Styela clava: one gene and its partners. The protein of the gene in region 3 purifies or fractionates together with the protein of the main gene of each other region. This does not show direct contact. Links are inferred from orthologs where the notes say so. Each region holds a gene or a part of one and is shown on either strand. Other genes may lie near its edges. The genes, in order: E3 ubiquitin-protein transferase MAEA-like, ubiquitin-conjugating enzyme E2 H-like, armadillo repeat-containing protein 8-like and zinc finger MYND domain-containing protein 19-like.

Region 1 (7,870 bases), about 4.0 Mb from region 3:
GGTGGAAATTAGATGGGGTCAAGGAGAATATAGTATTTAAACATGGCAGCTATGAAACTGGTGATGATTACACATGTAATAGGAGTTTAAGTCACCTTATGGCAATCCACATGAAGGTTAATAATACAATTACTGGACATCTATCCTTGTTCTTGTTGTTAATTCAAAAGTTATGCACAGCTGTGAGATTCCCAGTTACAGAAAAAATATTGTTGAAGAAGACTAATTAATTTTGTCTGCATGTGTAAATTAAATTCATTGGGTAAAAATTCTGTCACTGTTATAACATCAGAATTGAATCAGATTCTGAATATTTGGGAGTTGAATGCAAGTTTTTTCAGGCTCTATACCAGAGGTGGGTAAGGTTTTTGAACTAGGGGCCAAATATTTTGCCCGCCTATACTGGCGGGCCATGCAAGTGTGACGTAAAAACATTGTATGAAAACTATTTAGTGTTACAATAGCAAAACTGGAAAACAATAAGCCTCGTGCCAAAACTAAATTTAATCGCAATTTTGATAAATTCCTTGAGCTATTTTTTTAGCTAAAACATCAAATTTTAGTTTGGTTGAGGAAGCATCAAGCGGGCCAGATTGAATTACCCAACTGGCCGTAGTTTGCCCATGTCAGCTCTATACTATAGCTATGGTTATAAAGCGCGATGGCCAACAGGTTGAGGCGTTGGACTTACCGTAATCAACTTTGTATCGTAGGTTGCATTTCTCAGCTTCAACGAATGCCTTGCTTGGACATCGCGTAAGGCAGCAGTTCCCAAACTATTTATTCGTACTGTGCCATATTATCTGGGGGAAAAGCTTACGGCACACTTATACGAAAAAAATGCTGCTTTTAAATAAAACTTGATCGTGTTATGTGTACTTTTACGTTGGTCTCTCAAATCCGGAAAAAGAGAGAAGAGTCGTTTATGTTGGCACGCACCGGAGCTGCTAACTCGCAACAACGAAACAGCTGATTAACACCCTTCTATCGGCGCCGCAAATTGCTCTTATGTTATTATGTTGACTAAGGTCTATCTTTGTCGAGGTACCGGCACCGGTGTATCACTCAGCATCAGTACCGGTACCGGTACCGGTACGATCGTTATGACATTATAGCATTATGAGTAAAAAAACAAATTTGTCTATTAACCGCCGATCAGAAATTTACGTTTGTATTGATACATATACGGTAGGATAGGATTTAGGATAGGATTTACATATTTATCCCGGGGGAGAGGAAAGCCGATAAGACGGCTTATTCATATGGCGAACCACGGCCTCTCGTCCGGTTACCATTCCAAGTCGGGTATGGGATTAGATTTACTGTATTGTTTGTTTTCGGAAGCATGGACTTGGTGGTGGAGGAAGCCGTAACCGACCAGCGGTTACCGTACGTGAACCACCCAACGACGGCGAGGAGTCCAGCAATCCTCTCGCACATAACCATCCCTGCATGGGATTCGAACCTGCGAACCCACGCAGAGTAGTTAGAGGTGCGGTGGCGAGCGTATTCCTAACGCTTAGCCCGTTGAGCCACACCGCCGCGCCGTAGTGTTTTAGTTGGAAAGAGAGGTTCCGGGAGTGGAGAGAAGAATTTGAGACTGGGATTCAAATCGGGATCGAAGCTACGTCTTAGGGCCGTTACGGTACCGGTATCTAGTCTACTTATCTGGGAATGTGATATCTTCCAGTCTTTAGAAGAAGCTCGTGATAATCATTAAGAAACAAAAGTTGTCTGATGGTCAGACATGATTTTCACAGCTGGATTTTCAAGCGTTCGACAAAAAGAAACGGAATGTTAGTTTAGGATATCAGTCGACATGTCTGCATACTAAAAATTTTGGCTTTGTAAAACTGGTTGAAAAAAGTTGATTTTATGGCCTACCATCATCGGCAAATGCTCAAGAATATAAATTAATAAATGAAAACTTTCTGAATTCTAACCATTTCTGCATTTCCTTAAACAAAAAGCAACGCCCTAAACTAGTTATCGAGTTTCTACATTTGTTTGTTTACTTTTTTGCTTTGTTTATTTACTAAGAATATGAAAAACAGCAGCTAATCCTAATCACTTAGATTTCATTATTAGGATTCGCAACTCGGCACATGCATCGTCACAGGCGGTAACTCTCATTCTACAGTTCTACTTATTTCGCAATACCACTTTTACCCATTAAATTTATATACAACTGTAAAATTAAGCTTAGCCCGTGAATATCACTTTCTCGTGTTCATGAATTTTTTTAAGTTAGATTGTCGTGATGTGTTTTTCCACTTGCAGACTTGTGTGAGTGAATAGGCACAGACGCTGGTTACAACGTTTGCTATAATCCTTCTAGTTTTTGCCCATTTTCCCGGTCTTTCTGTCGCCATTCTCTGTGTATTGTTTTTTTGTGTGCGTTCTGTATTGTAGACGAAAGATCGAAATAAAATTGTATTGTATTGAGTTCCTGTACCGGTACAGCGGTACGGTACCATACAGCCATACTGCTGTACTGGCAGCAGTTTGTCAGTTTATTTTAATATGATCAGGAAAACGGCTTCGAGGTACCCGGTATTGATTCCATTCGTTACATATTGAAATTTAACGAAGCATAATCCAATGTCTTTAAAATTACCGGTAACAAAGTGCAGTCACATGCTGACATGGCTCAGTGCTGCAGTGGTGTGGTGCATTGTGCTGAGCTTTAAGAATACCTGAATACCCTCAGCACCACACCTCTGATTACCCTGTGTGGGTTTGAATCTTTTGTGGGATAAATTATGTGCAAGAGGATTGCTGGACTCCTCGCCGCAGCAGGATGGTTATTAGGATATTTACCTTAATTAGTCATCAATATTTCTAATAGCAAAAAAACTTTCGGTAGTCGAATACCAATTTAGAACGAATTATGTTTGACTGCGGAGGAATCTCTATATATATAAATCAGGGGTACCCAAGCTTTTTTCAGGACGACCCCAAAGACAACTTTCAAGTGTCCAGTGCGACCCCAGGTCAATATATATATTTTTCATGGAACTTTAGAGCTTTTTTCACTGGACTTTTGAGATGTGATGTGATGGTAATAAGTAAAAGAAGCTAAAACCAAACAGTGATGTCACAATAATCACCTACATTTTCTATAGCATAAGCATAGAGCAATGCCTATGGACCTGTTTTACAGTAAGCCATGGTAAAAACTGCTAAATTTAACATGGTTTGTTGTATCTTAGATGTTATGTACATCCATCCTCTACCATAACTCAGCGACCCCACACACCCCATGACCTGTTTGCGACTCTACCTACTTATCACTCCGACCCAATTTGGAGTTGCGACCCCTGGTTTGGGAATCCCTGATATAGATCCACAAATATTCAAGAAAATTTATTCATCACGGCCGGGCAGTATCGATATATATACAAGTATAGATCATAATCATAATTTTAGTCTGATTTTCCTTATTTTAGTTCTATATTGAGTTCGGGGAATTTCTGTGTTAGTCAAATGAATAACCCCACTAGGTTCCAGATGCTTTACACAACTTGATGTGAAGTAGGCGATCAAAATTAGATATCTTCATATTGGTACGTACACTTCTGGAGCACCTAAATGTCTTGTATGTATTTGTATGTTATTTTTTTTAAACAACTCAAGTCAAATGTAAGCGAAATCATAACTCAAAACTTTTTGTGTGGGTTTAAAAGTTTGTATACCATTGAAAAACGCAATGTATTCCCACTTCCCAGACAACACTTCGCCAAGTGATCCAAGGAATAAGAAAAATAAATGACTCACTTTGTAAGTGATTGAATAGTCTTGTTGCACACTGACACAAATTATTTCTGTGATGTTTCGTCTGACCAAGGTCTTGCACATTTAACAATTGTTTTAAAAAAAATATGGTGGTTACATAACGTGAAGTTTTGTCATATTTTATCGCAAACTTATTACTTATATTAGTCAGTAAAATCAATAACAATGTAATAAGTATTGAACTGAATATTCAGAAGCTATATATTGTTTCAGTTTCGAGTTTTGAAAATTATTTGACAGTTTCTAATTGGTCACACATTGTGATAAAAAATTCAATTTGTCATGCTTCCGTTTTTTAAAGTCTCCTTACTTTGTTATGATTTGGTCGCATACTAACTTAGAAATAAAACACACCGTCTCTTTTGTGCTATTGTGTTAGGATTCCCTTTTACTCAACAGAAATGCTTCAATTATTATTTGGCTTGGCGGTAGAGTGCATTGTGCTAATCGTCACGCTTGCTGTCGCATTTTCATTTCAATAACAGTTTCAAATACATTAAAAAAGGAATCCTCATAGATATACAAAATAAAAACTGAAGATGTGACAGAATTCAGAATACTTAACTATTCAGCAGACATCCATTTTGGTTGGGGTAATGCTACAAACTTATATATTCGAAGAAAGATTTCATTTGTTTTTCATGTTTATTCTAAAAAAGATATGAAAGCTCAATCCAGTCACTGTGAATAGCTAGCTAGGTAATAATTTCAGATGTACTGACTTGGATGGTGGAGGAAGTCTTTCAATGTTTTTTTAAAGGCCGTCATTATTTCAGATTATCATAGGCTACTGGCTACCATTTCGTTTTATGAGGCTTGCAAATTGCCTGAGTCACCAGCTATGACCTATTTAATATTGATTAGTCATGGTTGTAACTGGTAAGAGGTGGTCCCATAATCCATTATTAATTCTTAAAAATGATTCATTACAGGCTTACAGCTAGTTTATCTACTATCACTAATTTAACCTATATTATTGCAAATTTATGAAAAAGGAATGACCTCATCCATCGGAATGGACGTTAAAGTACAGGAATATGTCACACTGAAGGTGGGATTGTGTTTTTGTTGCAGTGCTTCCTTCTATGACTCTCTTCTGTTTGTTTATACAGGTTGTTCAGGAAGTCTTGAAAAAAAATTTAAATTTTGAAAGGAATTTATTGAATTTATGTGTAGTTTTTTGGCCCCTATGAGTGTATTAAATTGAGTGAAAGAATTGAATGAACACTGATCAAAATATATAAAAAAAAAACTTGTTAAGATATATTGTAAACCGACCAAATAACAAAATTGTAATTATCTGAATGAGCACCTGGAATGTTTGGATACTAAGTCACTAAGTGCACATATGTGAATCGCTTTGCTAGATTCTTGTCGCTTTGATCCTAATTGAGGAATTCAATTTCAAATTTACAGTACTTGAAGCGGCTCCATACTTTATCTTTTTTTTAATTCTTTTTTTGCTACTTTTGTATGGAACTCTATATTTTATCCTAAATTTTTCGATTTTATTTTAATTAATGTGGAATAGTATTTTTATTCTGTCTGGCTTGGCCACCATCACATCTTATCGTGTTGGTACAGTTGTGGATTAATTAAAGCAAAAAATCTAACATAAACACTGATTAAAATAAACAAACCAGCATGAGACATGTTGTGAACCAACTTCATAACATCTTAAAAGATTAGGTCTGCCTTAGTAATCTTCTCTGAGATGGCTGGCCGCAAGAATCTAATCCTAACGGGCAAGTCTTCCTAATAGCGCATTCATATTAGAATTGATGACCTAGCTTCATATCATAGATTACCCAATTTACCACAATCTTCTTGTTCAAATTTAATGAGCATATAGTTTGATTCCAGGATCAATTATTTGCATCCAGGGATGCGAGTCTGGGATAGTTTACTATCAAACATGAGGCTTGGACCCGGCCCTGCGATAGAAATTTCGACTACTACGGTACTTTGCAATGCCAAAGTTGTCTGACAATTTGCCTTTGGCCCACTTGCTTGATAATTCTAATAAAACTTATATTTTTAAGGTTCCTTATGAAATTCTTAACAAGCGTTTCCGCTCTGCTCAGAAGACGATAGATAGAGAATTCCATGGCGTAGCGGGGGCTCTTACAGATTTAGAAAGATGCATTGAAACAGGGAATGCGACTGCTGGCAATGTTGTTTCGTTACTTGACGGCGTAGTTGAAAAGATTAACAGCATGAAAAGAAAGGTGGGTTGTCATTACAACTACTTTTCAAATATATGAGATTTAATTCAATTTAAAAATATTGACGATTCGATTCTGAAATCATCACATATTTTGAAATGCCCAGCTGTGCCCACAAATGCAAACAATAAGCTCACCTCACTGTAAGAATCCTTTGGTTTTAATGGCACGCCTTACGCTCGAACGTGCCACGCGAACGGTTTTGTAAAAAAAAATATTTATGATATACATTAAAATATCACGTTTATATCAAAATCAGCAGTTTTTTTTAGGACAATATTAAATTGTTTCGATAAATAGATATTCGTTATTATGTATTGTTATTGCATTTTCTTTGTTTTACTGGAGTTAATTTACAATACCGCAATTGTGCGTGGCACGCGACAAGATTATTTTGAAAAATTTGGCACATATCCTCATTTGAGATGTGCACCCCTGGACTATACCATCTGCAGTAGTACAACTATCATTTGATTCAAGAGTCTTGCTACAGAATAACATTTATTTCTTCAGACAAGCATTTCTTAACTATCATGCTTGTCTGAATAAATCTGACTCCAGTCAGACGAAAGGTTACAGAAATACATCTGTGTTAGTGTGCAGCAAGACTTGAATAAAATAATATTAATAATATAATCGCTTTCCACTAAATAGCAAGTATATTTATGAGTTTTCATTAGATCATAGTGTAACTTCTTCAGACAAAACAAGATATACCGAATTACCGAAATTTGTAAAGATAAGAATTGTTGAGCCAAGTTACTATAATGGGAATAATTCGAAAAATGTAGGGTTGGAAGGATTTGTCTCTCTCATCTTGGTTTTATTCCAAAATGGTACTAAATTGACGGAAGTACTTTTTTATTTTCTGTGCTTCAAAACAGGGTTAACAAAACGTGCAGTTTAGACAAGTTTTAAAACATGCTTTTTATATTATTAAAAATTTGAAGCGTGTTATGTGAAGAATATGCTGTTTATATAGAAATAAAGACATCCAAGATAGTGAGCTGTTTTCTCAAAAATTGAAATTTGTGCAATTTGAAAAAGTTTTTTTTTTTTAATCATGAATTAGTGTTTGTGTGTAACTTTGTCATTTTTGTATTTTCTGAATCTTGATTTATAATGGCACATCAGTTTATTAATTTTGTTAATTTGCTGTCAAAAACATTTTAATTGAAATGTGTGCCAACTGGCAATTCACATCTGTGCCCTATCAAATATCATGTCTGTTTGAACAGCTGTTCCTGACTGATGTTTATCATTAGGAATGTGTTCTTCCTGTTGTATGTCAAACAGTTTATGTAAATAAAATGTAAAAGTTTTCGTGATCTCAAAAAAATAATAAATGTATGATTCAAATTAGCATTTCGTGATATTTTAAAATGCAGTTTGTGTTATGGCCATGGGTGTTCAAAAGGAATCTTAGTACTGAAACGCATTCAAAATTACCGTAGTCAAAAAGGTGTCCGAAATATTTCGCCCGATTTCATAGTAATAACAATTGTAATTTTTTTATAAATTTTATGGTATGATCAATGAAAACTACAAGCACAATAAAAACTATTAATAAACAGAGACAAAGAAATTTTTAATTGTCATTATAAAATTGGGTGAAATATTTGGGCACTCCCTTTAATAATATTCTATATCTCTATTTCTCCGAATCAGCAAGCAAATTTCACACAGAGTACATACATCATTAATTATCTATAAATCTCTATTAAAGTAATTTAAGTATTAAATTTTAATCCATTTCTAGACGCATAGCTGTATTTTTTATCATGAGTATTGATTTCTTTGAATGAGGGTGAAATATTTGAACTATTGGTTTTGTGCCCACTTTAACGCTT
Region 2 (8,279 bases), about 4.6 Mb from region 3:
CAGTGACATCCAGTAGGCACCTTAATTATCGGACTGAAACCTCCTAGAACTTGATATGTACGGAGTTCGAAAGACAATTTTTATCAGAACAATCCTCAAACGATTGGTGAACTCAAGGCTGCGATTGCAGGAATAAAATGAAGAAATACTCAAAGAAGAGGGATTGACAATGTTGCAAAAAGAATGCAATTGCCGAGTAGGGCATTTGGAACATATTCAAGAAACAACATAATTTTTGTGCAAAACGTCCTAGATTTTCCGAGACTTTTGGGTACAAACATACGCAAGCAGAAGTTGAAGTTTAGACAAGATTAAATAATTCACTCCATTTTCGTATAAGTAATCGAGAAAATGATGGTCTCGTTTTTTGAGGACCACGCTGTATAATACTGTTTTTAATATAATTCGGTTAAATATGCTGCTTATGTCACTGTATTCGATATTTTAAACTTACGCAACACAAATGATAAACCGACTTTAAACAATGTCAGACACAACATGATATAACAACAGGCTAAATTTTTGCCTTTTGCCAATTTATGAATTACATATGTAGCCTTATTATTCAATGACCCAAGAAATGAAAATGAACCAGTTGAGTCGCAACATGGAGATGGTCCTATATGGCGCACGTCAGTTCTATCAGATACTCAGCTCTCACATTTTGCTCTTAACAAAACTAAAATTATAACATAAGGGTGTTGTACTTACACTACCGCTTCAAAGCATCATAGAACCCGCTAGTAAAATGAAGCTGTTATTCAAAACAGTAAAACGAAACGTGCAGTGCATGGTGGATGAAGCGTATGCTGTATGCGCCATGTATTATTGATTCATTGTGAAACAATACAGATTTAAAAAAATCATAATACCTATTCTACGTTAAGCGAGAAATTTCCAGCACCGAAATCACAAGTAAACTAGTTTGAACCAAAACATAGGAGTAAATGGCATGAAATATCATACTACTTGTGAGTTCCCGTTTTGATGTCAGCGCCCCTAATTGCCCAAATCGCCATAAGCGCCCCCCAAGTTAGGGAAAACGCACACAAGGGGACGTTTCCGCCCACTTTGGGAGCCGCTGGTTTATATTACCATAAAGGTGCTCCCGAAGTATTCCTACCAAGATGGCGCATAACATGAACATTGTGTTATAAAATAATTGTTTATGTTACCAAAAAGGTGCTCCCGAAGTATTTGCATCAAGATAGCGCACAATCTGAACATTGTATATGCACCATGTCAGGGTTCAGGATGTGCGTAATCTTGGTACGAATACTTCTAGAGCGACATTATATCTGAACAATAAAAAAAAACTTTATGTCTCAAAACGAGCTTCGGCCACGATTTTGCCGGACTAAGAGTATTGAAGTACTTGACAACAGATTAGAATATTACTTGTTACCCCCGAATACTGATTAAAATTTACATTCAAAATCGGAAAAAATATTGCCAAATCATTCATCTCAAATACTCGACCCAAATTTGCGTTTGATAGAAAGTAAACTCAAATACTCCTTTAAATAAGAACAAAGACTAATATATGCCTCCAAAGTTTATTGTCTCCAAATTTAATCAAGGAGTGTCGCATGATAGATGTTATAGAAATATTTTATATAGAGTTTTTATATAGAGCGTGCACCCTTAAAAACTGGTACCTAAACGTCGTTGGATTTTCCAGTATGACTGTACCCAGCCAGGCCAGCCTGCTGTCACTGTGCCAAGGGGATATTCACTTTGGTCGTTGCTATGCTGTTCGCTGCACATGGTTACCCCTGCCGTACTTGACAGTGTCCGGAGTCTCTTTTTTGTAACAAATTTGGTTTTTGGAGTTTAATATTTGATATATTAATTTATATATATATTGTTCGTCTTATTTCTATTAAACTTGTATCAAAGTTAGACTCTTATCACAGGTGTCGCTGCTCGATAACCAACTTAAAGTTTATGTTCACTGTGAGTGCATTTTCATTTGGATGAAAAATAAACTACTGACTGACTGACTAAACAATAAAAAGACATGGTTTGAAAGATAGGATTGGTAATCTGATTTGAGGAGAAATAACAATAAAAAGAACTCCCAGAGGTCCAGAAGAGAATAAATTTGTCACTTCACATGCCTTGGTATAAAACGTAAAAAATGAACGGGTGTGAAAGCGTGCACCTTTTAATACTTGGGATGAATTTTGATTTTGAGCAAATTTCCGTCGCTACGGACGCTATCTAAGTGTTTATTTTTCATTCATTTTTTTCATTCATTTTTCATTCATTCATTTATATTTCATTTTGTTGATATTTGATGGACCTATGATTTTACACAATTTGTTTTAGAATGGTCGATTCACTATAGTGAAAACAAGTCGGTACTCGTTAAGGAGAATAGTGGGTCAAAACATTTTTATCTGTAAGCATAAACTTTGTAACAAAAGTTGATAGACATTTGAATTAATTTCGAAACGCTTTAAGCAGTCATTAACAACACGACAACAAAGTAAAATATCAAAAAATGCTTCAACAAGATGAGAGTGAGACCCGTAGCTGTTTTGCCCATATTAATTGAAAATGTATATTTAATGAAACATATGTAATGATTAATTATTTCAATTCATGTTGCTTGTCCCCGAAGTCATTTTTTATTATTATTACCGGTTCGCCGAGGTAGAAAGATTAGAAACCTATGGTACTGGGCAAAACTCCACTACCTTTCAATGTTTACTATTTCTAGTTTCTAGATACATATTACCTGTATCGTACATCGGAAAGAGTTGATAACCAAGCTTCAAGGCAGACAAGACACTCAATTAGCACTCGAACAAAAGCGAACCAAACATTTTGTACTTGATAAAGTCTCGCAGATGAATTGGTGGTATGATTTATCAATGGTAGGCGTCTGAACCTTTTTTATTCTAGAAGTGACAGTCAATGTTTGATTCAGCATCATTCAATTTGACTTCTACCTTTCGGGTGATCAACTTATATTTCTAACTTCTTGTTTCCCATTACCTTCACCATAATTTTGAATCAGTTTGAATTTTTGTGGTCTCTTCTCCAGTCGTGCACACTTGGCACTGGCATGTGCATATTGGACTTCTTGTCGGTTGTGTTGGCGAATATAGTGTTTCCATCGTAACCATACTCATATCTAAATTGTAAGAGTTCTTACTCTGTTAGGCGAACTTGACAGCACTAATGACAAGTATTCCAGATGGTGGTAATCATTATAGCAGTTATGTAGAAAAACGTCTGCAATGCTCGCGAGAAAAAAAGATTATGTCAGTTAGGCTCTTACGCTACTGAAAAAATTATATAACCTGTAGCCCACATTTTCAGAAAAAATTGTATAAGCAACATAGTTTTTAACTAGGCTACATAACATTGCATCGTTTCATGTCATGATGTGTTCAAATAAATTTATTTTGAGATTTCCAAAACAATAATATAATATGTTTTGATATGCACCGAACTAAAATGAGTCATCCTTATTCAGGTGTAGAATTTCTTACCCATATTTTTATGATCTACGTTTTTGATCTAAAATGTTTGTCTCTGCGGACATCAAGACTGCATTACCCGCGGCTACCCTTCCACAGTAAAATTATATGATTAGCTCTTTTTTAATATTGTATGTTATGGTTTTTTACTGGCTGGATAAAATAAACTTGACTTGGCTTGACAGAACCTTAACAAGGGCATGGTCAACTCTCATATGTTGTTATTATTATTCAATATATTCATATATCTCCATAGTAGTCGGTACAGGCCATTTTCCAGTTTGATTAGCAACATTTGAGGTTCCAACACGTTGCACACCTTTGACGTCACTGCAACGCTACATCATCAGCTGATTTCTATGACCCCGCGACCTCACCAAAACAATAATATTCTACTTCGTTCTCGATGTCCTTTGTTTGTGAACGTTGTTGCGTCCGTTCGCGTTGTTCGTATCGGTATCAAATGTTTTGTCGGTATGTTGTTCAGTAGAGAAATGCAACATCTAGTTGTTAACACCATTATTATAGTTGTTGATTTGTAAATACAGTGATTGCGATTGCGAATCGTCTTCGGTAGGACAACAAGAAAAGGGCGTTGATGAAAAATCACAACAATAAAAAAAATCATTCCCACCCTGCTGCAGAGTCTGGGTGTCAGCTGTTTCGTGCAATACTGTCAATGATGAATATTCTGACACCTATTTGAATACATGGATATAACATTATTGGTACATACCTATGCAATTTACAGATTTATGTAATTTTGTTCATGAACTGTCAGACAACAGACAATGCTGGAAATATGAATACAGGAATATGGCACCATACCGTACTCCTTGTATTCCTATACTCTGCCATAATTCTAATATTATTGTAGTCAAAAAAGTTCTGTATATGAAAATGGTGATAAAGTGCTGTAGTGAGAGCAAAGTCAGAAAGTTGCTATGTTCCTGTATTTTCATATGTCAGTACTGCAGTAAGTTCAGAAGTTGTAAACGAAAATGAATGATTTTTGAAATACAAGAATATAACTTGTGAAAACAGAGAGAAAGCTTTAAGCATGAAAGCATCTTGCATTTTTTATTTGCTATTGACAGTTATGGATTTGCGAGCCATGGAACAAGTCATACTGTCATAAGATTCTGTAGTTCAATGTTTCAATTCCAGATTTTTTGGCATAAATGATTCAGAAAGCTGTTGCTGATCAGGAATTGCATGATGCACTCTGCAATGATTGAGAACCCCCTTCATTTACATAACAACATAAAGAGATCTAAACATGTGGCTCTGTTATAACAGTATAAAGTCATACTGTTATATCTGTATAACTGCATTGGCCAAATCCACATATGGATATTTACACCATGACGACAATGCCTTATAGTTGAGTTTATTTGAAGCCCTGGTTTGGTGCTATTCATATTCAAACAATTATTCATTGATTTCGTATATACTGGAACTGGTACATTCTGTTTTGCCGATATATTTCAAAAAATTTGAAATAATTTTATTTTAATACTTATCTAATAAATCAAAAAAACCTTTAGATTTTCACAGGTATTTGACAACATATTCAGCAAACATTGTCTTGTTGCTAATAAAATATTCTCATTGTCTTGACAACAATTTGTGAAAAAAAGTGCATTGTATAAAGAGACTGAAGAACTTGCAATTGAGAAAAGAAAATCTTTGTACCACTCAATTGATTGACGGCAGCCATGTCTTCACCAAGCCCTGGCAAACGTCGTATGGACACTGATGTTATAAAACTGTATCCTTTTATTTGAAATAATTTGAAAATTTTTTGCATTATTTTATTGTGTTCCGTGTTTTATTTGAAGGTTATACATTTCATTCCAGCATTGAATTTGATAATAAAAATATTTCCAATTGATCAATTGATTTGGCTAATAAACCAAGTTCAGCATAGCACGAAATGTATTGCATTCTATTATTTGTTTAGGCTTTGTTGGATTTTCATTTTTTAATTTAGTTCAGTCGAATTCACCTGAAATTAATTCAGCATCTTTTTGTCGGAAGTGACTGTAAACAAATATGCATGTAGATGTAATCTTTCATGCTGTAAAAATAGAGTGCCAATTAGCAACTACTAACTTATGATACCAAGCAACAATATACGTAGCACTAGTGGATGCTGGCATCGCATGGTATGGCCCTTACAGCTTCATTACGAGCAAACTCTACACTTCAACAAAAGTCGGTGTCCTCTGTACATGGGGCTAGTCTGATTATGATTTAAAAAATACTTGTAATCATTGAGTATGGGTTTTAATCTAAATCATCCAAGGCCAAATGGAGAATTTATTAACAATTTAATATATCCTAATTGAGACTTAATGTTATTAATGTGCGGTGAACAAAAGCTAGATAATCTTTAAACTGATTTTAATCTTCTATGAGTCTCATTAATCGTTAAAAAAAATTTTCAAAATACAGAAAAGGTGATCTAAAATTATGTTTAATATATCCCCATATTCAATTAAAAAAACTAGTTTGAAATATTTTATGAAATTCCCTTTTTTATACTGATTGAAAACATGTACCGGTAACCTATTTCAAATTTAATCACATATTTATTTTGTTTTTAGCCTTTGTATATGGTTCTGCTCTTACATGTTTAGTTTGAACAAATGGAGCAGATGTTTTAATAACTATTATTTACGACTTGATAAACTGGTCCAAAGTGACTTTAATTACATGTATTTATATTGACTCTCGTTTGATTCATGGTTGTTATTAGATAGTAGATGTTATGACCCTCACCTTGTCATATGATCAGAATTTACCACTAAGAAGAATATTGATTTTTTGAACATTAACCAATCATCAGTTATTCTTTCAATGATAGATCAATATATCAGAGAAATTTTACCTGGGCAATAATGATATAATATTACAAGACAAAATATGATAGACCTAATAATTTTTTTAGAAATACTGAGTTCTCAGATATTTTTTTTCAGTTACAAAAAAGTCATAATATTATGAAGTAATTTTCACATACAACTTTGCTGTATAAGTTATAAAAACAAAAAAAATATCATTAAACTTGAATATCAAACAATTCCAAAAAGGCATGTAAATATTTCCAATTTCAAGAATTTGACAAATAGGCATTGCTGGACATAATTAATCCCTGATTAGAACCAGAGGAAACGTTGCTTGACCACATGACCTAGGTCTTTATACCATTTAAATTTCTATTTTACTTGTCTTGATCTTAAATACCATTTATTAAAATAATATATTAAGCATGTTATGATTAATAAAAGCTGAGATCAATAAAGAGTAACAGCTGTTATACAGGCGTGGTAATTAATCTTTCTTTGTCGCCCTTGTTAAATTTGATTATAAAAATCTTGTCACATGGTTGTATTTAGTCTAGGGATGGCAAACATGTTTTAGCTATTTTGAAGTCGAACATTGCAGAAAGGTTCTAAATGGAACTGGAATGGTTTTCAGTAGTTTATTTGACACTCATAATTATACCCAATTTAAAAAAATATATATATAAATTATTAAATGATTTCAACATAGCTTTATGATGTCACAATTATCCAGTCATTTCAAAACATGAATTTTATATTCACAACTGAAAGAAAATCCCTGTTTTTTTTAAAACAATAACGCTTAAGAGATGAGCTGTATAGTAGAACTCTGTTGAGATGAAGTAAATATCCTATTCTATTAAACTACACAATGTATTGAATGGTTAAAATAATAAATATTGAAGCAAATAATATTTACCATGAGCAGTTTAGTTCAATGAAAAATATTAGATGGACATATACCATTTCTTTTTGTTGGTAAAATAACATTCCATGACATATTGATCCTCTTTATATGAGCATCATTTCCTTAACTACATGAAACCAATTAACAGCATTGAAAGCAACCATGAAGTGACTGTACTGGGAGGACTTAATGAGTTTGTGGTGAAATTTTGTGGCCCACCTGGAAGTATGTTTATTATTATTCCATAACTAGAGCTTATGTAGTTACTTTGATAAACACGAGCCTTAGATTAACTGGACCTTGGTAGGATATTTCTTTCAATGCCCCAGGCTTGGTTTATAGGAATACTGATTATATTTGGCACAAAACTAGATTTCATTCTGATTCTAACAGTGTAGGCTTTGAATATATAATGAATCTGAGTGACAAAGAGTAGTCATAATCAATATAATCAGGACTAAGAAAAAAAAGCTGTAAATTTACTGTTTTTGTTGGGTAAACAATCAAAAATATCCACATCTGGGTAGCGGATTGTTTTCATATCACTTCCCAATCTGGGTATGAACTTGGTGGCAAATTAGAGAAAGCACTCTTAAAATTTCTATCTTTCATTTTCCAGCTCCATATGAAGGTGGAATATGGAAAGTTCGAGTTGATCTACCTGAAAAATATCCATTCAAGTCACCTTCAATAGGTAATAAGAACATAAGACTATGTTGAGAAAACTTTTCAAAAGAGTCTTCAAAAGAGGATGTAAATTGAAAACTATAGCATTAAATACATATCGTCCTGTTTTTTCATCTGACTTTTCACACAGTTTTGAGTTTTTATACTGTTTATTTTGATTTCTAAAATTCATTAAATAAGTGATTACCTTGCGAAAATGTGTATATCGGAACGGTTCGATGAACAAAAATATTAAGTTTTGTGATCAATGTGTTATACCGTACTACGCATAGTTCAGTTGAATTTGTTATTACGATAAGATATCATTTTATCCCCGGGAACAGGAAAGCTGATAAGGCAGCCCAA
Region 3 (7,838 bases):
TCACGGTGGTCTCTCACCCGATTTGCAATCGATGGAACAAATTCGTCGCATTATGAGACCGACAGACGTGCCAGATCAAGGTTTACTCTGTGATCTGCTATGGTCCGACCCTGACAAAGAAGTTGCTGGATGGGGGGAAAATGACAGGGGTGTTTCATTCACTTTTGGTGCGGAGGTTGTCGCGAAGTTTCTTCACAAACAGGATCTTGATTTGATTTGTCGAGCTCATCAAGTTGTGGAAGATGGTTACGAGTTCTTTGCAAAAAGGCAACTTGTCACATTATTCAGTGCTCCCAACTACTGTGGAGAATTTGATAATGCAGGTGCAATGATGAGTGTCGACGAAACTTTGATGTGTTCGTTCCAAATCCTCAAACCAGCTGATAAGAAAAAGTTCCCTTATGGAGGCATCAATTCAGGACGACCTGTAACACCACCGAGAGCTTCAGCAGGAAAAGGAAAAGGAGGAAAAGCAGGAAAATAATGTGCTACCTAAACCAAATTTTTTTTTTGTATAATATTATCGATTTCTCCGTTTTTAGTAATGCACAGACTATGTTACCATCATCGAGCTGATTTGGACTTCTGTTACCACTGTCGGCCACAAATGATCAACGGGACTCAATTGGATATAAGACAGTGACTCGTTGGTCAAATAAACTGACAGCTCTGTCTTTGTGTTAACTGTTCATCAAGCAGATACACAAAGTTCACTTCTAAAGCTATTCGAATTGGCACACTCATCTGTACAGAATTGCTGTTCAAGGTGTCAATAATGAGTGGTTTACTTTGTTTCATTTTTTGTACTAGTTTGTTTCAGATCACTTTTTTGTTCCCTTCTTCCTAGCAGCTTAGTCTTTGCACTGTCTGGCATTGAGTTAATTGATAAGTCCAAATTACAATCTTCCATACATTTGGTAGCAATTGTACACGTTTGTAAAATGGAATGCCAATACTATTCAAAAACAGAACTTGTAGACCAATTATGCATATGCTCGTGAGACCTAACCATTCGGCAAATTTTACGAATAAAAAGGTTTCAAACTATATCAAGATGAAAATATCTTCATGATTCTGACGTAGATCTCAGAAATGATTTTTTAACTCGATTTCATCATAATGTATTCAACGTCAGTTACTAAAATATTTATAGGAATATATTAAAATCTGTATCCATTTTCCTTTTGATCCTCTTTGCCCTTTTTAAGCAAATGCAGCCATTATGGTTTTATTTTATGTTCATATCCCTGGCATCTAATTTTTAGGCAGTTCAGTTGAATTCTATTTGAATTTTCAAGTATCGTAATTACATAATTATCTTTCGAAATTGAATATCCATCAATATTACTTACTAAAAAGTGGTAAATTTATCTGTTGATCAATTTTCACTTATTTCAGCATCTACAAACTATAGTTGTCATCATTTCTGTTATTTGTTGACTCGTTTTTGAAATATTGTCGAAATGTACAGCCCTTTAGTCTAGTAAAAAAATGGTATTTCATGACACATTGACTCAATATTGTCATTACTGTTTCCACCTTTCATAACATGGCAAATTTTTTAAATCAAAGTTGATTTTCCCTCTTAATTGGCGTGTTTTGATCTTTCTGGTAGACCCGAAGACTTTATACATAATTCATGGAACCTACAGCAGACATGATCGTATTTTATGCAATTTGTTTCTGGGATTGTATCAAAATTAACGATTCCGAGAATTGTAAAATTGAATGTTCAAACAGATTATCAAGTTAACATGTTTTTATCAAGTTGTTGGAGTTAATCTATTGAATGAATTATTCTATATTGATGCATGGAAAGAGGTAACGAGATAGGATGTGTATTATATGTGATATATTTTATAGCACATTTCTTTATGTGACATGTGTTTAATTGACTGTTAATTGCTCCTATCATCGCTTCATCATCATTCATATACTGTCTTTTATGGGGATCTAGTTATGTGCTGTTGATCCATGCCGCTGGCCAGAAATTGACTACAGTTTGGCATATGTAATTATACTAACACATAAATTATCTATCAAAGTTTTTCAGTGATTTGATTAGTGATGTTCCAAAAAGTTTTTATTTGAATGATTTGGCGCTGAAATTAATATACTATTCATTACAGTAAAAAATGATTATTTATCGATGAATTAAAGTCATTAGTGGTTATTTTCTGGCTGGTGCACACTTGATTCAACTGCGTCATCGTACGTAGTTTATAGCGAGCTTGGTTTGATCTTCTTACGCATTGTTAAAGTGCTTTTATTTAATTTGGCCAGTCATTGTTGTTGCATTTTAATTTCTCTCACAAGTTAAAAGATTCAAAACTTTACATATCCCGTTGGGAAATCAGGTATCAAATCATATCCATTAAAGCATGAAAATTTTTGGATAATAATATGAAAAAAAATGAAATTAAAACTTTTGAAAAATAAAATATTTTTGGGGCGCTCCCAGTGAAATTTTATATTTAAAATGATATATCTAAAATTAAAATGAATTTTTGCACATCAACATCCTTTTAATACAATACTCATTCTGTAATTGATATTGTAATCTAGTAAATGATACATGCTTTGTTGAATATGATTTGATATCTAATTTCTTTATAGGATAGCAGTACCCATGATTTGTCTTGTTCATTAAACTTCATTGTATTTGTGTATTATTTAGATTTTATCTATGTTAATAAGGTCGTAATAGCAGCAATAATGGAGTAATGATGGATTAGTTGGAAAAAGGAAAAATACTTACGAACAATGGAGATTTAATGAATCTCAATCTGCGGAAATATAAAAGTAGCGAGTCTGATTGCAAAAACGAATATTGAGGAATACGAAGCTAAGATGGCTGGTGGGGGAGACTTATCAAGATTTGAGAAGGTGACGAGAAAATTTGAGTACCTTGATCACACTGCAGATGTACAAATTCACTCATGGGGAGAGGATTTGTCAGAGGCTTTTGAACAAGCTGCGATGGGAATGTTCAACTACATGACGGACATCGATGGTGTTTGTCCAGAATCACACAGAGAAATAGAAGTCGAAGGAGAGGATTTAGAATCACTTTTGTACAAGTTTTTAGACGAATTCTTATTTATGATGTCTTGTGTACCGTATTATATTCCCAGGGAAGTAAAAATAACGGAGTTTGACGAGAAAGAATTTAAAATAAAAGCTGTCGGATATGGAGAGGAATTCGACGAAAAAAGACATGGCGGACAAGGTACTGAAATCAAAGCAATTACATACAGTGCAATGGAGATCTTAACAACACCCGGCTCTGCTCAAACCTTTGTTATTGTTGATATATAGTTTTTTGAAAGAAGAATTGTTTAGCTGTTATACTTGATTTATGAGATATATTAGCAATTCTCAACCTTTTTTTAGAACTGCGGAACCCCTTTTATAACTTTTGAAACCATACTGGGGATTGGAATATCATTACTCTTCCTTTACTTTTATGTGAATCACTCTTCAAAATTAGTTAAATTTGTCCGTTTTCAAAACATAAAATAATTCTATACAAATGTTTGTTTGGTCAGTCTACCTCATTCACAATTTTTTTTCGTTTGTTAAAAAATTGAAAATCACAAAAAATTATGATTTTAATAATACACAATTTGATACATAATTTTGTGCATGCGTGATCATTCGCTTTCTCCTTTCTTACTATTGAGCTGACTAGGTGGTGGCAATACCTACAAAAAATCAATGAAAAATTGGGTACCACTGTATTTAACTATCCTTCTCCCATGTATTACTTTAATTGTTTGGATCAATACATTCAAGGTTGAGCGCTCAATTACCATATGCCCTTTCATTCCCCGGAGATACCAATCAGACAATCTTGACTAAATAGGTTCTAATGAGTAGTGTATCAGTTCAATATCTTTGGCCTATAATACTTTTTCCTCGTGCAAAAGTTACAAGGAAAAATAGAATCCCATAATTGGTTATGGATTCTTCTTGTTAAAAAAAACAAATTCTATACTATGCAAATTAGTGATCAATACGAACATGATTTGAAACTGTAACCTTCAGCTAAATTCCAAAATTAGAATTGTACTTGAATATCTGCCAGCTATGACGTCCATGGTCATATCAAGTTGCATCAATAGTACGTGTGTCTATTATAAACACAAGAACTGACATAACTCTCTTGTGTAAGTTCATGGTACCTGGCAATAGCATGGAAATATTTTTAGTACTGTTGACGTCAAGCTCTTGAATGTAATTATCAACATACATTGTGTCATAGCCTGGAATATAATTTATTAGTTCATTTTTATTTATGAATAAATTTTTTATGACATGACTATGTGGTATAAGATTTGGGTAAATTTGTACATATTTCCAACTTTAATTGTATTGCAATAGTGTCAACAATGGTCCAAGAAGATCTACGTTTATTGTGTTGAAGCGTCTGCCCCGAACCTTGATGTACTTTTAAAACTATTGTCTGTTATTTTGACCCTTTTTAAAATTACTTCTATCAAGTTTTAAGATATTGATGAAGTTTTTTTTTATACGACTTAGTGCACATCTTTATTCATGCCTTTTATTCTCTCATTGTATTTGATGTTCATAGATTGTATGAAATGTGAACTAATTTTTTGTGATTTTTATTTCAATGGCGACAGGCGAAGGAAGCAGTTGTTAGATAAGTTGATTATTTTGAAAAATGAGCATGGAAGTTGACCAACATGACATGAGCGAGGTTTTCCCGGTTGCGGTTCAAGGTGTGCTCTCCGAGATAACAACAATGTATCAGCCCTACGTTGGAAAAATATTTGATACTGATGAGAGTATAGTATTTGAAGGCATAAAAGAAATCAAAAACTTAGTTATTGGAAACAAAAAGCAAAAAACGAATTTTATTGTACTAGGAGTCGTTCCCAGATTGGTCTTCTTAATTGAGGACAGTAACACTTCGATGGAATTGAAAATACAATCTGCAATTGTACTTGGCAGTCTTGCAAAAGGAGTTGATGCAAATTTAAAGCATTTATTAGATCACCGTGTTTTGGAAACTCTATGTAGCCATCTTACTACAAACGATTTGCAATTGTACGAAGCCACTGTTAGATGTTTACGGACTATCATAACTTCTACTGAAAGAACTACTGAATTGTTATACATCAACCCTTCTGAAATAATTCCAAAATTGTTAGAAAATATCAATCGTTCCAGTTGTACACAAGAATGTACATGCGAGATTATTGCTCATTCTTGTATTGCACAAAACCATAAAGATCTTTTGATCAAACTTGATATTATAAATTTACTTGGTGATTTATTGGTTTCACCCATTCGAAGGGTTAAGGTGAAGGCCTTGGATACGCTAGCTGCTCTATGTTACAAAAACAAAGAAGCCTGTAAGCAATGTGCCATGTCAAAAATAAAGGACAAACCTCTTATGGAAATTGTGATAAGACTACTTAATGAAAGTCAACCTGCGGATATTCAAATGCGTGCTGCAAAATGTCTGACTTTCATGTTTCGAATGCGGGTTTTAACTGCAGATTCATGGGATCATGTTATTGTCAGAAAAGTGCTGACACGTTTGGTTAGAATGTGTGATATGGAATCGGACCCTGATCAGCGCATTTGCAGTGCCGAAACTCTTGCGTATTTGATCGAAGTTGATCCACCTTTGCAAAGACTTGCTTATATCTGTGAACAGTTTCCTCACAAATTAGAAGCTTATTTTAAATATCCTTCAGTAAGCTTAACAAAGAACGAACACAATATAAAATTCTTCAAGCACGCTTTAAAACATGGAAAACAGTTACACAGAGCAGGATTTTTAGCGTACGCCTCACTTCTTTCAAATGACGAAGATATCCGAAAACAAGTTGCCACAGAGCTGCTGGTAAAACACATTTCAGAATCTCTAATCGATCCTTGTGCATTAGTTCGCTCGGCTGCATTAAAATGCCTTTTAAGTTTATCTCGCTCCGTACATCTACTTCGTACAACTTTTCAGGACGTAGGTATTTGGAAATCATTATTAAAATTGATGCAGGACTTTGCACAAGATATTAATGAAACAAAGATCATCAGCAGTGTATTGTGCAACCTAATGCTTGACATTTCACCCTGCAAAATGGACTTGAAAGCAGCTGGATTGATAAAAACCATAACTGAATGGTTAAATGTGGAGGATTTAAGACTGAACGCTATTTGGATCTTTATGAATATGTCGTTCCATGCTGAATTAGCATTAAAATTAGAGATACTTGAAGCGATCAGCTTTGAACAGATATTGCAATTGTTACAAGACAGTGATCGTGATGTTATTATACGTACTTTGGGACTCCTGCGTAACATACTCAGCTCGGATCAAGATAAAATAATGCCATTATATGGCGTAAATATCATACAAGCTTGTAAACACGTTTTAACTGCATTCTCTGATGCTGGAACTGGCCATCCTGGCTTACATTCAGAGTACGAGTGCATACGTGCCCATATAGTGTGCATACTCGCAGGTGTGGCGGGTGGGGATGGAGGGTCAACAGTAAAGACCTTTCTCGAGAATGAAACGGAACTTTTGCAGCAAGTTGTTAGCTATTTGATGCATTTTGACCTTAATCTGCAAATGGCTTCAGTATCATTTATATACAATTTTGTTAGAATGAATACAGGCTGTGTGGAACGTCAGGCCGTAATGATAGAGTTGGGAGCAGTGAACAGCTTACAACATCTACAAACCACTAACGATACTGTTCTTTATGATAAAGTGGATAAAGTACTTCAGCAGTTTCAGAATACAAAATAATTTTTGGTAACAAATGTACTGTTTCTTTTATTATAAATCAACTGATTGACCAGAGTCTTGACAATCAGCTATTGATATATAGAAGGCTTATAAGTTTTTGAAGTACCGGTAACTTAACTGCAATCTTTTTGAAAACAGCCTATGACATGGTTTGAGTTCAACAGACTAGTCCCTTGACGGCTGGTCATTGACGTTTGAACAAAAAATTTTTATGCACGAATGAAAGTTTCAAACCTTTTTGATATATTTTTTCTTACTTTGGAATTGTTGTTCTTTCATTATAACAAAATAGAAATGGCACACAAGTTTCTGGTATTCAAGTTCATGACAGTACAGTTTGTTACTTAGTACACAAAACTAGTTCTTGACAAGGCAAATAGCTTCGATAAAATGAAGTATACCATTATTTATATATACCAAATTATCGATATCTATTTCCCTATAATCATACCTAGATGGAAAATTTAAGTATATTTATCTTTTATTATAATATTAAATCTCTAAAAGTACTAAAGCAGTGGTGTCGCTTATGTCATTCCATTGACTAGGTATAAGGTTTATTCAATGGAAGAAGTTTTTCATTGATAATCATCCTTGCTTCGGTTATTTATTATCTGGTGGTAAACTCAGCACATACATGGTAAGTCCTTGTGGTATTCACAGAGTGAGTTTTATTTCTAGAATGCGTAATACTTTTCGCTTGGTAATTCCCTCCAATTATAATGTGCTGTATTCACAGGGCTGATGCAATCATCTGTTATTAAGGTGAACTAACAAAGGATATACTCTAATACCAGGAAGTTTAGTCAAATAAGATTGCAAGAATGATTATTGATTTGCGGTGAGACAGGTTCATACAGATTCCAATAACATGTCTAAGTAGATTTGTGTGACATTATTGATTTTTTGTGGTTTGCTTTCCCAGATTAAACTGTGAGCAAGGCAAGAAAATTTTTTTGTGTAGGTTGTGTGCATTCTATATTTTCAACTCTGCATGTAAAGCAAGGAGATTATGACTGTATTAGAGTGATGATACGCTCAATATAACCCT
Region 4 (8,332 bases), on a different chromosome or scaffold from region 3:
AGGATTGCATTAATAATAAGATGGAAAACTAATTGACCATGGCCTACTTTATAATGATTAGCGCAGAGGAGACAGAAAGGATCAAATTGATGAACCCTTATCAGTCTTAGTGTTCCCAATGACATTAAACAACATGATAGGCAACTCTGACGTCACTCCATAAGACTATAGGCGAAAGATTGTATTTCATGATACGCTCCAATGCACATATTTCTCGTCGCCTTTCGCGTCCGTTTTCCACTCGCTTTTGCTACTCGGCGTCTTTTTTACGTGTAGTACTTGCCTTTTTGCGCCTGTAACGAAACAAAATAATCTCTATATCTAAGAAGTTTTGCTCACTTGGAAAGCTGGAATGGCAGGCAAGCTGTAAAGAGCAATTCTGGACATCACAGACGTTTTTTTTTATCAGAGAAGATTACAAACGCGATAGCCGAAAGATTTGTTTGGAACATTTTGCAGATAATGACAAAATTCAAAGTTAGTAATTTTAATGTTTGCGCTTAATCATTGAAATTTCATTTGAAGAGGGTGTCATACAAAACTGTGCTGTGATACAATTCCATAACACAAAGTTTGCACCTATCGAACTTGCTTTTGTAGGTGAATTTATTAGACATATTACATATTCAGTTAATCGTAGGTAACATTGCTGGTACATAATGCATCGTAGATAGGTTTGTTTAAATTCAGGAATTTAGCTCATAGCCCACTAATTAATATTATCTTCTATGCAGGAGGTTGCAGGGCTGAATTCAACTTGCAGCCTTACCGATCACCTGACGATGCTCATTTAATTTGACTCGAGCAAGTCTTCTTGAAATGCTTGTGTGGATGGAAACTACCTATATTTTTTGCCTTCCTCCGATTTTAGACAAATTTATGCTCAGGGATTTCGCATATAATTCTCATTGATTGTTGGATGTTTATAATTCCTATTGATTGTGAATTCTGATTATAACAAAGAGTTAAAAAAATTTTTATCTAATTTACTGGCACCTTTTTCTTGTCAATACTCCAAGCTGAGGTAATAAACAAGAAAATACATTTATGTCATCTGGAAGCAAAATATGCACACTAATTAATAGTTTGGCACATTGAGATGATACATCATGACAGAAAATACAAGTTAAAGATATGTATGACCATCACATGGTAATTAAAATAAAATAAAATTAATAGGGGCTGTGGAGTATGAAAAGTTCAAGACAAAGAAAAGAACAAATGTTCATAGCTCATGAACTCTCAATTTTGCCTCCATTGCTTTGTGAAGGCCAATATATTTCGAGTGGCTGAATTGGTTTACCTTTATGATAGCAACGATTTTGTATTTAATATAGCGAGATTATTTCAATTTAATTGAAGTGATATGATTTCCCAAAGCAATGCTTGAATCGTCTAGAATAGATCAGTGGTGTCAAACTCATGGGTTTTCGAGAGCCGCATTGCATTTTGGAAATTGTAAAAAGAGCCGCAAACAGTTTTTGATAATGTATACTTAAAAGATATTTTTAAGATAGTTTTAGTTTGTGACATATATTGTGATGCAACTAAACAGTTGGATTAAGTTTTATTATTTTCTTCAATTTCAAATGCAATTACATATTAATATTTGCATTCCACTATTATTGCAACATTTGCAAGTTACTGTATTTATTATAAAAAATCCTAAAATTCTATGTACAACCATCAAAATCATTTTTGAACAAGCTTTGAATAAGGAAAGAATAATACATACACTAAAAATAACTTAATCTAAATATATGAACCTAAAATTAACAAAAATACTACAGTATAAACTCAATGTTTTAATAATTACATTTGTCCTGACGTTTGGCATCGTTTTTGTGTCACCAGCATACTAAGGCCAGGCTGAAATGATTTTATAGTACCAACTCTAACTTACGAGGCCACATGATCATGGGTTAATCTGTGCAAATGTTTAATTAATTCCGGTAATGCAAAAAAGTTACTTTTATCATTTCATGTATAGATCAGTAAAAAAAAAAATGACAGATTTTTTCGACAAGACATTTCGCACCACATTGCGTGACATAGGATTGCTTGAATTATTATTGATATTGATTTTTAGTAACTAAGTCGTTGTATAATTATATTAATATACAAACACATGGAAATTTTCTGTTCGAAGTTGGTCTTCGAATTTTTCATATTGACTGCTGAGCTTATTCTGTTTTTTCATTGTATTGATGGAAATATGACAAATTAAACAATGTGCTTCAGAATTTTGTGAAAAGCAGAAATGTTGCAACTCCCATTTTCTTCGAAAATGCCACCTTCTTCATGTACTTTGCGTTTAATTTAATCACTCAAGTGTTTTATTCAAGTATTCGTTTGCTAGCTTGGTGTGTATATTCCTAATTGGGTCAAAATGTGGACAAAAAAAATTAATATTCCAAAACTACTTTCAGTAAATTGTTTTCTGTGTGAATATTCAATTTCACTTTAAAAGGTTTGAAAAATCTATTACATTAAGATAAAAAAAAACTTCCAAAATACTATTACAATTATTGTTAAGCATTTGAGGGCCGCACTGGAAGTTCTTTGGGGCCGCGAGTTTGAGATCCCTGGTCTAGATTGAAGTTGTCCAAAAAATATATGTTAGTATTTTATCATGAATGATGATTATACCCCTTCCGGAATTTCTTCTATAGTACTACCAAAAGTTGATGAACTAAATATAACACAGGTGCAGTGAGTTACCCGTAATCCTCATTTTCCAAAGCTGTTTTAAGTATGTCTGGCGTGTTTTGTGCCTTTTTATAAATAAGACCGCTTATGCAATATTACGCTTTGGAATTTTTAGTTATTTTCCTTAAGCCCTGCAGGATGTGAGGGCCATACACAACTCTACCGGAGGGTCAAATGTCTTTGCATGCCTCCATAAGTTGTTTTTCTATTGCAAACATTTATGGAGTACTCTAATTATATTTCTTGGAATCACACTGTCACTGATATGTCGCCAGACTTCTGATATCTCCCCTTCTGCTATAGTTGTCCTGTGAATAAATAATAGAAAATTGAGATTAGACGAATAGTTGAAAGTTTTGCTTTATGTCGGCTTAATTTCTTGATTGATATACTTACTATTTCTGCTATTGCATCTTGTGCTGCAGGAGTCTCACAATGCTTAGACAGGTTTGTCCACAACTTTCACATCTGAAGAAAGAGAGGAGATTTATTAATTTTCGTTAAGAATAAATAAAGCAGTCTATATGATTCAGAATGGAAAAGCTAATAAATCCAATATCTCATGTTTTATGTAAAAAATATTTTACTGAGTTTGGTATATAAACCAACTAATAAAAGGGTTTAGTCAGAAAATTACAAGCATTCGTGGCTCCAAATACTTGAGAAATCAGACTACGACTTCAATACGCAAATAAAAGTGAATGCGTAATAGTATGTTACAATGAGCAGCAATCAACAATGAGTATATATCCTCACTGATTAAAAAAATCTAACTGGAGGTGCATGAACTATTTGAAACCATAAGGTGTAAGTAAATATGTAATTTCGGCAAATGGGCAACTACGTACCGTACTGAATTAATACCTTCGTAGTATTTGACAAAGGCTGGCTTTCCCACATGTACTTAACAGTGCGATGCCCGGGTGTGATATACAACAATAGTATTTACCTTACCTTTTTTCGATTTCTTTTTACCTTAACTTTCCAAAATATCATTAAAATCGACAACAACTGTCAAAGCAGGCACGAACACCATTCGTGCTACGCCTTGAAAGCAGCACACATCCGCTCGTTTTCGTCTCGTCAAGTATGTGCATTGGAGCGTGCTATCGAATACGATCTTCGGACAAAAATGCCGGAGTTGCGCATCATGTTGTTTAATGTCATTGGTGTTCCTTCATTCACAGTCAGAAATTTGTTATCTTATGCGTCGCTATGATTGCATATCAACGCATTTTTTTGATAAAAAAGAGTGAACTAAAATGTAGCACAAATTTAAAAACGGGATATCACAGGCATGAATACACATGCTTGGAATCACCACAGTGTGTACAACGTAATTTTTTCGAGGTAATCTTGTCGTGGGCTACCAAGCGTGACTTTGTTAATCAAGTAAGATTCTGATCCACTCGATCCTCGTCAGTAGCGGTAGTTCAGGGGAAGCGTAGAGATATGGGCAAACATGAGGCCGAGTTCGAACCCCACAAGGTAGAGTTGTAGAGATACGCCAACGGGATAGACGGAGTTTCAGGGGTGGACCAGCAAGCAAAGCAGGCAGTTGAGGGGCAACGAACAAGGTGAACAGAAGCTTCAGGTATGGGCCAGCAGGCAAGGCACGCGGCCGAGGGCATCTACCGGGGTAGGCTGAATCTCAGTGATGAACCAGCAGGCAAGGCATGGCAGACTGAGGAGCCTCAGAGATGGACTAGGCCCAGTGAGAGGAGCCAGGGTTGGGTCAGCAGAAATAGAGGAAGCCAAGAGCAAGCGCGGAGAGAGGGGAGGAGCAGCAAGAGAGAAGAAGGGGAGCAAGAGAGAAGAAGGAAAGTGTAAGCAGGGGCGAAAATGGTTATGCCACGCCTACTAGAACGGCGTTTAGTGCCTAAATGGTAAAACGGCTTTCCTCTTCCCCGGGATAGGCTAAATATGTAAATCATATCCATCATTCCCTTGAGTGAATGAATCCATAGTTTGAAAAAAGGCCTTCTCGTTATCTTGAGAATATAAGGTTTTTTCCATGTAAAATATATGTGATCTCGGTCGATTCTATTTCAAATTAATTACAAATGTACGTAAACATCAGAACTGGAAAAACCACTTTAAAATTGAATTTGTGCTACATTCTTAATGAAACTGGAAATGGTTTGGCAAGGGCAAATGTCATTCGGTTTTGAATTTTCCTATAATTTTATTCTTCAGGATGGCAATTGTGTTGTTATTGCGGAATTTCTCTCTGGTATACTTCTTGAATCACAATCAGGTTTGGCGCACAGGGCAAAGCACAAAAAATACCCTACATTGAAGTCAGGGTGGCGATAGAAGTTTCTGAGTATCTGCACACATACTGTTTCCTCTCTCGTCCGAACGCCTACAATCTAGCTCACCTAACAAGGGTTTCCTGCTGTCATAAAAATAACGAAAATAAATTAGAGTAAAGATTCAATCACATTAATGCGAGGGGTGGTTGAATTAGGATTAATACGTCATACTGTGCGGCTATCTCATTAGAGTAAATAACAGAAATATTGTCGGTATAAACATGTATAACTTCAAAATATTGTGTTTTTGGCCAACAAAAATGTAGGATTGGTATACCAGATTTTAAGTGAAGGATATAAGGGCGTACTTCAGAAAAGATTGACGAGCACTGCCCTGGCCTAGAGTGCACAGAAGCTTTTGTAGGTGGCGCCAAAGAGTTCGCGGCAGCTGTTCGTCGATTCTGTTCGGTTGTTTCGCGCTGAATCGGGTTGCCTGAATATCTTTCCACGAATGGCTAATGTCAAGCTGGGAATTGTGAGACTTGGAAGAGTTGCCGGAAAGGTGAGTCTTATGTATATGGATGATATTGTTTATAAAGTGTATAGCCCCAACATTTTTACGCCAAAGAGTGTTTTTTATTCCATATTTTTGTAGGAAAAGCACTGTTGTGATTAGGGCCTTTTTGAACCTACTGGTACCGATAGTTTTCTAAAACTAGGCCGATACCGATGTTTTCTCACCTACAAATATGGCTACAAGTAACATATTGTGTTTTTCTTGCAAAAGAATTGAAATGTTGAACTCATGCAATGTGTGCATGGCAAGAAAGAACACATATTGTAAGGGCAGGAAGCTTATGAATCTCAATAGCTCCAGTTCAACAGTCTCAGATGTAGTTGAGCAGAGTTTTTCTGCATTGGCTCCATTGCTTTTCTGCATTGGCTCCAACCATACTTGCTCTTGTGTTTTGCTTTGAAATGGCTCTACAAATTATACCCATCTTTTTTTTTTAAATCGGCGAAACCTTTCGACTTAATAATGATAAGCATATCTAACAAATTACGCCACACGAAGTATTGCTATACTTTGCTCTGACCGCTAGAACCAGCCATCTATTGCATATCAATACAAGAAGTTAAATCGCGACTTGAACGACCAAAGCGCAAGGGAAATCCAAGGCCGTCGTTGCGGCGAGAAAACAAAAGTAATAACTGTTCGATTCTGGGTGCTCGTTTGCGCGTTTTGGATGGCAGTTCGTATAGTTTGAAGGGCTCTATTATGTCACTGTGACGTCGTAATGATGTAATTCTTGGATGGTGTAGTCAGGTGGGGGTTAGGATTGAAACATGAATACATATGTTAGGTACGAAACTACATGAGACCCCATTCTATTCTATCAAAGTGTATTTATTGATTGGGACCCACCGAGTGTTTATGTTACACAAGTTTGACGCACGAACGATACCCATGCGTGTCTTTGTCTTTTTTATTTTGAATAAAAGTTTCTGTGTTGAATGAGGGTGAACTGACACATGTATTAAACCTTTATAAAAGTTTTGCCAGTTTCCCATATTTCCCCAATCTTTTGTGTGTTCATTGTTTGGGTTTTGTGTATGATTTTTTTGCGGGAAAATCAAAATATACTTATATACCATTCTGTTTACTAATTCAGTATTTCAATATTCAAGTTCAGTACCACCGCGTTTCCCCGAAAATAAGACCTGCGGTACCCTGAAAATAAGATCTGGCCCGAATTTTAAAATGATTTTAATATAAGGCCTCCCCTTAAAATAAGACCTGGTCAATATCGCGAAATTTTTTCTGACTATGGGTATAGCATGAAATCTCGGGTCTAGTGTAGTTTCGTACCGAAAGTACTGTAAAAGTGCCTAACTTCGGACAGTTTCTAATTTAGGACAAAAATTTTAAACGACCATATCTTGTCTAAAAGGCGTCGTATCTTGCAAATTCCAATTATTATAGGTAGCGCTGTTATATATACATCTATTGTTAATTCTTTTATTGTTGCATGATTATTTTTTTGGTCAGAAAACGGGAATTTTGCCAAAAAATGACTGTCTGGTATTCAACGGCGCAGAGCGTCGCTCATACTTATTAAGCTATCATCGTCAAAATACCATCATTCGGTAGAGGGCGATAGCAAAGTATATACATTATCAGAGTGATCGCAAGATGTTGTAGAAGATTTGAATAAAACCTCTGTTCTGAATTGAAAATTCCGTAAAATTATTGAGATTCCAAGCTGCGTCAAAAGTAACGTCAATCTCATGTAGATCATTTTTTGCTCACTTCTGACACGACGCCACACTGGTCGTGGAAATGAATTTTGACGCCCGACATTGACGCCAAATTAGCATTTTCCGTTTAGATAAAGACGGCGTTCCAGTGTAATATTTTTGTATTTTGTTCGGTCCATGTGTGAATATATGCCAAAATCAACTTAATGAGAATACGTGTCTTACTCGACTTCAAAAATCGAACATATAAAAAAACTAGAAAAATTCCAGTCTATATGTATACTGACTTAACAATTATTTTATGAAATCGAAATGGCAGTTATTGAATACAGCCTGGGTGAATTTTATTCACTCGAAGTGAAAAATTCATTTAATTTCAAACAAAAATCCCGCCACCTATCTCAATGTTAATTAACAAGAGTAAGTTGAAGATTAAACTTTACAATTGGGTTCGCCGTATATTTGATATCGATTTATCAGCGTAACATCAACAAAGCTATCCGTCGAGAATGATAATATTTCAAAGACTTACAATACAAGCCTGTTACAATATTTCATTATAAATTAAAACGGTTTACATCAGATATGTAGTTGGTTAATGTGGTATTATATTGATCTGAATTGACGAAAATAACGAACGAAAGATGTAAACATTATAAGACGATGAAAGTTTCAAATAATGCGTTGTCGTCGCGGCGTTGATTTTATGTTACGACGTCAATCGAGCGTCTTATCTTCACGCAACGACGTGACTAGGTCACCCGCATCGGAAGCCTCTTTCTCTCTGTGCGTTGCAGTTTTGCATTGAGGAAAATGGCTATTCGAAGTTAGGGCTGTGAAGGATAACGGTCAGATGGCAAGAAAAGTAGAATATTTCAATAGTAAAAACCCAAACCCAAAACCCAAAATTTGCAGGGAATATTAATTACTGCACGAATGTTTTACATAGCAATTTTGGCGTCGTTTGGACAATAAATGTTATATTGTACAGTTATTGATGAAAATATGGTAATTTTGTCCGAAGTTAGGCGCTTTCACAGTACTTCTAGGGGTTGTAGCATGATAATTTATGCGTATGTTAATTTTAACCCCCACCTGACTTCGTCATC

What was found.
Region 1: the proteins of armadillo repeat-containing protein 8-like (region 3) and E3 ubiquitin-protein transferase MAEA-like purify together in Homo sapiens (affinity purification with mass spectrometry; 5 studies listed by BioGRID and IntAct, with this or other methods). This does not show direct contact. The link is inferred for Styela clava from reciprocal best matches to the Homo sapiens genes ARMC8 and MAEA.
Region 2: the proteins of armadillo repeat-containing protein 8-like (region 3) and ubiquitin-conjugating enzyme E2 H-like purify together in Homo sapiens (affinity purification with mass spectrometry; 3 studies listed by BioGRID and IntAct, with this or other methods). This does not show direct contact. The link is inferred for Styela clava from reciprocal best matches to the Homo sapiens genes ARMC8 and UBE2H.
Region 4: the proteins of armadillo repeat-containing protein 8-like (region 3) and zinc finger MYND domain-containing protein 19-like purify together in Homo sapiens (affinity purification with mass spectrometry; 4 studies listed by BioGRID and IntAct, with this or other methods). This does not show direct contact. The link is inferred for Styela clava from reciprocal best matches to the Homo sapiens genes ARMC8 and ZMYND19.

What each region holds. Positions count from the first base shown.
Region 1 is NC_135258.1:5,334,301-5,342,170, forward strand, and holds the start of E3 ubiquitin-protein transferase MAEA-like, read left to right. Parts: upstream 1-4,710; 5' UTR 4,711-4,792; coding exon 4,793-4,846; intron 4,847-5,837; coding exon 5,838-6,023; intron 6,024-7,870.
Region 2 is NC_135258.1:13,913,979-13,922,257, forward strand, and holds the start of ubiquitin-conjugating enzyme E2 H-like, read left to right. Parts: upstream 1-5,038; 5' UTR 5,039-5,209; coding exon 5,210-5,262; intron 5,263-7,395; coding exon 7,396-7,472; intron 7,473-7,866; coding exon 7,867-7,941; intron 7,942-8,279. UniProt on the Homo sapiens protein: Accepts ubiquitin from the E1 complex and catalyzes its covalent attachment to other proteins. E2 ubiquitin conjugating enzyme that transfers ubiquitin to MAEA, a core component of the CTLH E3 ubiquitin-protein ligase complex.
Region 3 is NC_135258.1:9,308,086-9,315,923, forward strand, and holds armadillo repeat-containing protein 8-like, read left to right. Parts: upstream 1-4,687; coding exon 4,688-6,787; 3' UTR 6,788-7,259; downstream 7,260-7,838. Other genes in the region: serine/threonine-protein phosphatase PP1-gamma catalytic subunit B, read left to right, coding at 1-484; protein archease-like, read left to right, coding at 2,851-3,318. UniProt on the Homo sapiens protein: Component of the CTLH E3 ubiquitin-protein ligase complex that selectively accepts ubiquitin from UBE2H and mediates ubiquitination and subsequent proteasomal degradation of the transcription factor HBP1.
Region 4 is NC_135254.1:72,802-81,133, forward strand, and holds the start of zinc finger MYND domain-containing protein 19-like, read left to right. Parts: upstream 1-5,312; 5' UTR 5,313-5,475; coding exon 5,476-5,526; intron 5,527-8,332. UniProt on the Homo sapiens protein: May be involved as a regulatory molecule in GPR24/MCH-R1 signaling.